Linked DNA regions of Arabidopsis thaliana. The protein of the gene in region 2 interacts with the protein of the main gene of each other region in a pairwise test. Each region holds a gene or a part of one and is shown on either strand. Other genes may lie near its edges.

Region 1 (3,923 bases), on a different chromosome or scaffold from region 2:
TTATTCAACCTCCAATGAGTTATATTTTCTATAAATCAGTAGCTAACAATTAAACTGCCTAAAATCAAGTAGACATTTTCAGACAAAACAAATTGCGACCTAAGTTCCTTGCTCACGGTATCCAGCTTTCTGACTGTACTGCGGTACTCCTTTCCTAACAGTGGAATGATCAATGGAACACTCTCTTTGTACCTGGAAAGAGAAGGGCATCAAGACTACAGCGAAAAGTAAACTACAATAGAAACAGAGGCTGGAAAAATCAGAGTTAAAACAACAGTTATACCTTTTCCAGAGTAGTTCTTCCAGAAACAACCTCAGTTTACTGATGCCAATCCTACTCTTTTCCTGTTTTGTCAGTAAACGGCCCAACTTCTTCTCTAAAGATGCAATGTCTTCCATTTCTCTAAGTGACACAGCCTGTAATAAAAACCACACATAGTTTAGAAAAAGACCTGTTTAACTTGTTTAAGGAATCAGACAGCAGAGCAGAGACCTGTTTGAACTCGTCATTAGACTTATACACTGAATCCTGTCCATAGCCAACTCTTCCAGAAGGCACAGACGTGAAAAAAGGAGAATCGCCCAATAAGGAGCTGTCAAGTGCGCTTGCAGGAGGTGAGAGAAAGACTTCCACGTCAGATGAACATGAGAATTGAGGGATTTTAGTGTCAAGCTTTGTAGAAACAACAATTGTCCTAGAAAGCTCAGGATCAACCTACATGAACGAGAAACAAACTTTAACAAAAATAAAGACAAGGTTAGACGCAATGGAGTTACGTCAAGCAACGTACTTGCATCACTATCCTTCGAGTGGTTGCAATGCTCCAGTCACTGCTATCTTCGAGGCATAAAATGATGAACTCTTTGTGTTGCATCTTTGCTCGGACTAGAGCTTCCACAGCCCGTGCTTGAACCTAAGAAAAAGAACAAGTAACCCACTCTCAAATAAAGCAAAACCAAAACATGAAATCAGCCACGGAATTGGCTGGAAGCCATAAGAAAAAACAACCTGAAGAGCTCGGTTTTTCAGTCCTGGTGCAGGAGCAATAAGTCCAGGTGTATCAATGATGGTAAGGTTTGGACAATACTTATACTGGACTTTCACAATAATCTCCTTTGCAGAGAATGGGCTACATGGCTCTTGCTCCAGCCTCATGTTCTCAGCCTCAATATATGCCTAACTCCAAATCATATAACAAATTTCGTTAACATGAGCATTTCGCTTCTCTACAATAAACCTAAGTACTTGTGTTTCTCAACATTCGTCAAAATCTTCCCAGAATTTATACGCAGAAACAAGCAATTGAAGAAGCACAAGTAATAATAATAACAAAACACCTGAATTTGTGAGAGAGATTTGGGAAGAGAAACGGAAGGATCATCATCAGATCCGAGATGACAAAGCGGGAATTGACACTGAGGATCGTACTTCATATGGAGAGTAATCGGCCGACGAGTCTTGGTTCCGCCGCCGACATGGTTAAATTGAAACCCCATAAGAGCTTCCACAAGCGCACTTTTACCGTCGGTCTGCTGTCCCACCACAAGAACCGCCGGTGCTTCGAACGGCGTCTCCAATTCCTGCGCCAAAGCGTGTAACTCGTTGTAAGCTTCGTAAAGACTCCACCGCTCCTCAATCGCAGCGTCGTCCTCTTCCGCCATTTCCTCAACCGTCACCGATTTTGCTGATACTTCCGCCATCGTCTCTTACGAAAATGAGCAAGAGGAAGAGTAAGAGTAAGAGAGTGTCTCTTATTTCTTCTACTCTTTAGTTTTCGTCGCCGTTCCTTTTTCCGCCATGGAATTAGCAGATACGGCTAATTTCAATTTTTGTCAAAAGAAATATTTTTTGTGTTTTAATCTCACGCGCATCCATGGCGCGTTGAGTCAACGTTGTAATAGTTCTCCGCTAAATTTAAATAAAAGAGCGCGTAAGGAGAGAGTTTAAGGATTTTTTTTTTTTGGTCGGCAAATACAAAGGATTTGCTTTGTCTTGACCAATAGTATATGCAGAAATATTATCTCAAAGGATTTGTGATAACTATGTAGTACAGAATTGTGATTATTGGATGAGAAACCAGAAATATTTTGAGCAAATGACGACTTGTTAATTTACTATTTTTTCATTTCTTAAAGGTCTCTCTTGTGTAACTATGATTAAAATTGAAATAGTGACTTTTATTGTTACGACATGGAACAAATCAACGAGTTCTATTGTTAAAGAGAGACATTGATGAATGTAACAAAACTGTGGCTTAGAAGCCGAAAGGAGACTTAGTTCGGGTCCCTCCTTCACCGTATTGCTCGTTCCATTTTCTCAATTCGTTCATTGTCGTCGCGTCGTATGCCACTGACGGACTTACCTGCAAATTACATTACAATGACGCAATTTCGATAATGCAAACACCAGGGGAAAAAACATGAATAGAGATGATGATGATGTTTTTTAAGAGATTGATCAATACCTTAGCTTTGGATTGAATGAAGTCGTCCAAACTCAGTGGTCGTAGATCAGGGGACGCATTTGTTACCGAGTCCTGATAATTCGACGTTTCAAAAGCATGGAGTGAGTACAAAAATTATTTTTCGTAACAACAGAAATCAACTGTGTGGGTTTATGCATGTCCTTACCTTGTTTTCTTCTTGTAACAATTCTTGAACAGGTCTGTATGCAGCTGCTATGCATAGATTCTGCAATGTAAGAAAAGAAAAGGAATCAGAACTACTGTGTTGAATCATACTCGAACTTGTAAATGAAACCCCGAATGACCAAACCTTTAGATCGCTTCCTGAATATCCTTCGGTTTCCTTTGCAAGTTTATCAAACTCGAAACCAGTTTCAAGATTTTCTGGTGTCAGAAATATCTTCAATATCTTCAACCGGTTTTCCGCATCTGGTAAATCCACATATATCCTATAAACACAAGCCTCAATACAATTATCGAAAAGATACAAATATTCCAAAGGAGAAATTACTTGAAAGCTTAAATTACCGTCTTGGTAGCCTACGAATGACAGCGTCATCAAGATCAAAAGGTCGGTTGGTGGCACCGAGAATGAGAATCCTTTGGCTATCTTTTGATCTGAGTCCATCCCAAGCTGCCATAAACTCATTTCTCATTCTTCGTGTTGCCTCGTGCTCAAAAGCACCACCACGAGCACCCAACAAACTGTCAACCTATACGACAACAAAATAAATTACAGTTAGTCCTTGAGTAACACATTTTACGCATCACAAAAGTATTCCTCATAAAAAGCAATAACCGAAATTGAAAAGTGATATAAAGCTAAACAATTTCTCACCTCATCAACAAATATAATGACGGGGGCTAGTTTGCTTGCAAAAGAGAACAAAGCCTTCGTGAGCTTCTCTGCATCTCCAAACCACTGTGCCAAACAATGGACGAAATTGACTTAAATCAGAACCAATCAGAGGTAAAGTTGGAAAGAGATTTACTCTAAGTTACAATCGGCATTGACAATAATAAGTCGATGACCGGGGTGGAAAAGTTTTTCTTATGTCATTAGATATTCTCCTTATTTATATGAAGATGTTTACAAAGTGGAATATCAACGTGACAGTGCAAACAACATAGTTTTAAGGTTCCATGTACCTTTGAGGTAAGCGTTGAGCCAGTTATGCTAATGAAGTTTGCCCCAGCTTCTGTTGCAAGCGCCTTGGCAAGCAGCGTTTTACCCGTACCCGGAGGACCAAAAAGCAATATGCCTTTACATGGCTGGAAAAAACAAAGACACACGCATTCAAGAAAACCCAGACGAGAAAATTCCAAGTCCATAGTCAAGAACATAATGACATGTATATAACAGAATGTAATACCCGCAAGAGATTTCCACGGGTGAAAAGCTCTGGCCTTCTCATGGGAAGAATAACTAACTCATTTAGTGTCTTTTTCACATGTTCA
Region 2 (3,923 bases):
ACAACTTTCAAGATATTTTTTTATAGAAAAATATCGAGGATTTTCATATTTAATAAAAAATAGCATTCAGTGTAAAATGAGCGTTCCACGATGCATGGATGCTCTTCAGACTCCAAGTTGTAGCTTTAGGCGGAATGAAGCCCAAAGTCTATTATAATAATCAGATCAAAACATATATGTAGTTGGATTTTGCCTCTAGTTATTGCGTAGCAGAAACAACATCTCATAATAATGCAATACTATTGAGTATTGAAACTTGTGTATCAAGAATCTGAGGCATAAATTTATAATAACCGTAATTCCTGCAAATAAGTATTTTATACGATGTTTTATAACAGCAGTGAATTTCCTTAATAATAAGAAGAACAGAAACTTTCTGAAATGACTTTCTCCTTAACACCAGCTTCCTCGATTGACTTCAGGGTGTTTTGATCTTGGGGCGTGTCGGAAGCAACTGTGTTTGTGGAGAACAATGAGAATCATGTAAATATCAGAATTCAGAAGAAGAAAGTTACGAAATTGGAAAGTGAGGTCTTGTGGATGAAACAAGTGTTACCTGGTAACAAGAAATGATGGAGGTGATGAATCCAAAAGCTCCGGTGACACGAGGAGTGATCTTCGTTGGAGCTAACTGAAGAAGACCAGCTGCTACAACAATGTCCATAGCTGATTTGATCAAAGCAAGTGACCTCTCGTTTGATTTTTTTAGCTTAGCACGATAATCCTCATCCTACATTTTTATACAATTTGAATTGAGTCTCTTATAATAAGATTTTGTAGAATTAGAAGTTTCTTAACAAAGAAGAAAACTTTACCTGATACTTGTTTCCATTCTTGAGTCCCTTTTCGATCTTCTTCATTGATGAAGAAAGCCTTCCCATCTCACCAACCTGATAACAGTGAAAACCGATACATAAGCTGGCGAAAAAGGCCAAGATGACATGAGGAATCGATCGGAAAAGTGAAAGAAGAGGCGGACCTCGACTAAAGTTGTGCAGACAGAAGATCCCATCCAGCAGAAGAGAGATATACGTCCAAGTAACTCAGCTCGTTCTTTGTTCTGTGTTGAGATAACACATATAAGACATTAGCCAAACACACAAAACTAGAATACACCAGTGGAACATAAACTTGATGATCTCTCTCTCTCTCACCTTATATATTCCTGATCTCCCAAGCCAGACAATTTGATCCAGGAACAAGAATGTAGATAAAAGTGCGTTCTTCGACTGAAAATAACAACAAAGATTGATACAGAACAAAGATATAAAACCGAAACGAACTCTGAGCTTTGATCTCTAAAGCACCTACCTTTCCAAGTAAAACAAGAGGAAGAGGAGTTCCTTTAGGCACAGGACTGATAAGACCATGCAAGTCATTCACAAACTGCAACAATGATAATATTTAGTTAATTAAACAAAGAGGTAAAAACACACTCTAATCAAAATCAAAAGGATTAACCTTGAAAAGACGGAAGACTTTTCTTGCTAAGCTAGTAGATTTGTCAACATTTTGAGCAGTACCAGGTTGTCCACCACTCAAGAACTTGGAACCATACTGTATAGCTCTGCATAACTTATCTCTTGCCTCTGCTTTGTTCAAATACATTACCACAAGTGCTAGCTCTGCTCTTGATACATCTAACGTCGTCCCCATCTTCTTCTACCTACTAATCAAATTCCAAAATATCTACTACTAATCACAAGGCAGGACGAAATTGGAAAATTTCTACTAGTTTTGATCAAAGAAAAAAATCAAGAACACCACGAAAAAATGTAAACAAATCATAGAAAGAAATCAAAAGAATTTCGATTCGAAATACCTTTGGGAGAGATGTGTGAACAGAGATAGAGAGAGAGAGTGATCAATTAAAATTCGCAATGCCTCTGTTTTTGGCTTGATCTTCTTTTGATTGTGTGTGTAATCGGAGATAGGGCTTGTTTGGTCATCTTCGTTTCCCGATAAACAGACAAAACACGTCGTTGGGTCAACGCACTCATCTCTTCAATCTTTCATTCTAAGCCGTTGATCATGTTGACTCTTTTTATGTGTACTGTGTACACCACATTGGATCATCCTCTCCCACTCTGCTTTCGGAAGTTGAGGATATTTCGCGCGTCCCAACCACGTGGCACACATATCTAGGACAACAAGATTGAAATTCCACGTGGATTTTTTACATTTATTTGGGGCAATAGCACTCTTAAAGCCCAATAATGTTTCACCTAAATGGGCTCTAACCTTGGCCTTAATTATTAACATTTAAACCGCTCTTTATTTAACCGACAAAACCTTTAGTCGTGTAGTTAGGGTTTTACTTACTAATCCGCCATTCACTTTATTTGTAATCAGAAACTGAAAACTAACCAAACATAACTGCAGTCTCTTCTTGTTTCGATGGAACTCAATAAGGATCAGACAGTCATGTCGGAGGATAAAAAGCCTCAAGATCCAAATCCCAGATTTGCTTGCGAAGGTTGCAGCGTTCTGCTCGACATCAACGATGGTGACCGTCTCGTCTTCGCTCGTTTATCTAGTGGCGCGTGCGTCTTCTTCCTCAATATCTTAATTTATCCAGATTGATTCTCATCCTCAATTCTATTGTTTTTAATTTTTTTTTTGATTCTTTTCTCTCCCTCTTCTTGCAGTATATTAAAAATTGGGAATAAGAATTATTCTTTAAAGCCATTGATCGGAGCTCCGTTTGGATCTCTGTTCCAAGTCGAAACCGGAGAAGATGGTTCTTTCCTCTCTCGCATTCTTCCCATTAAACAAGGTTTGTTATTATTGAATACCAAATTCACATTATCCTCTATACTGAATACAAAAGAAACTGAGTTTTTGTAAATTGGTTATAGATGGATTGAATTTGGTCTAATTGATGTTTGCTTACACAGAAAGTAACAGTAATAATGTTATGGACGATTCGAGAGATAATCGAGAAATCGTCGACAATAATGAAGCTCAGAATCTTACTGGTGAAGAAATTGAAGCTATGCGGAGGTTAGAAGAATTCTTTATATCGTCTGTGTTTATTATATTGAATGCGTACATTGGAAGATTTGGTAACGTTTTTCTCTTTTATGAGTAGAGAGGGTGCAAAAGGGGATGAAATTATTGAAGCTCTAATTGCAAACAGCAAAACTTTTGATAAGAAGTTTCAGTTGTCTCAGGTAATGTATTTATATTGTTAATGAATCTCTCTGCTTCTACTTTTGAAAGTTTGGGAGACATATAGTTGATTTTTCTTGTTACCTCTTTGTAGGAAAAATATAAGCTTAAAAAGCAGAAGAAATATGCACCAAAGCTGCTTCTTCGACGGCCTTTTGCTCGAAGGTATTTATTTGTTCGGTTTTTTTCTGTCTTTTTTTTTTCTGACTTCTTCCGTTTCTCTTATGGATGGATCTCTTTATGTTTAACAGTATATGTGAAGCTTATTTCAAGAAATACCCAGCCAGAATTGGGTAAGTACACTTTGTTTGTTTTCTTTACTTGTGTATTCTGAAGATCCTGAATCCTTTTTTCTCTGTTGAGATTGAATTATGTATTGATGGTTCTGTATATCTTTTTTTTTTGTGTGTTGTAGATTCTTACGAGTAGATGCGTTATCTCTTCTGTTAACGATGGCTAATGTCACTGCATACTCGGATGTGCTTGTGGTGGATATGGTTGGTGGCCTTGTCACTGGTGCAGTGGCTGAAAGATTAGGAGGTATATAGCTTTTTGCAATCCTACATCACATTAATAAGACCACTGCATATTTATCTGTGTGTCTTATATGTATATATTCCTTTTAACAGGCACTGGTTATGTTTGCAATACATATAAGGGAAGTTCTCCTTATCCTGTGGAGATGGTAAGGATGTTCAACTTTAGTGACAAGGTTTTAAAGAGGTATGTTCGATTGGTCTCCCTAGTCTTTT

The links.
Region 1: the proteins of PEX11D (region 2) and ARC5 interact in a protein complementation assay, tested with the Arabidopsis thaliana proteins (one study listed by BioGRID).

Annotation. Positions count from the first base shown.
Region 1 is NC_003074.8:6,853,689-6,857,611, forward strand, and holds the start of ARC5 (P-loop containing nucleoside triphosphate hydrolases superfamily protein), read right to left. Parts: upstream 1,903-3,923; 5' UTR 1,702-1,902; coding exon 1,339-1,701; intron 1,178-1,338; coding exon 1,010-1,177; intron 915-1,009; coding exon 792-914; intron 716-791; coding exon 494-715; intron 418-493; coding exon 284-417; intron 193-283; coding exon 100-192; coding exon of another isoform or gene 85-99; intron 1-84. Other genes in the region: AT3G19740 (P-loop containing nucleoside triphosphate hydrolases superfamily protein), read right to left, coding at 2,256-2,363, 2,466-2,537, 2,632-2,691, 2,776-2,914, 2,994-3,178, 3,304-3,387, 3,615-3,737, 3,839-3,923. UniProt on the Arabidopsis thaliana protein: Mechanochemical GTPase component of both plastid and peroxisome division machinery. Required for the last steps of plastid division specifically in mesophyll-cell, when the narrow isthmus breaks, facilitating the separation of the daughter plastids.
Region 2 is NC_003071.7:18,837,598-18,841,520, reverse strand, and holds PEX11D (peroxin 11D), read right to left. Parts: upstream 2,087-3,923; 5' UTR 1,823-2,086; exon of another isoform or gene 1,670-1,822; 5' UTR 1,657-1,669; coding exon 1,462-1,656; intron 1,387-1,461; coding exon 1,312-1,386; intron 1,230-1,311; coding exon 1,155-1,229; intron 1,061-1,154; coding exon 980-1,060; intron 891-979; coding exon 816-890; intron 731-815; coding exon 557-730; intron 455-556; coding exon 419-454; 3' UTR 118-418; downstream 1-117. Other genes in the region: AT2G45730 (eukaryotic initiation factor 3 gamma subunit family protein), read left to right, coding at 2,398-2,543, 2,649-2,776, 2,898-3,003, 3,092-3,173, 3,266-3,336, 3,423-3,464, 3,587-3,711, 3,801-3,894. UniProt on the Arabidopsis thaliana protein: Involved in peroxisomal proliferation. Promotes peroxisomal duplication, aggregation or elongation without fission.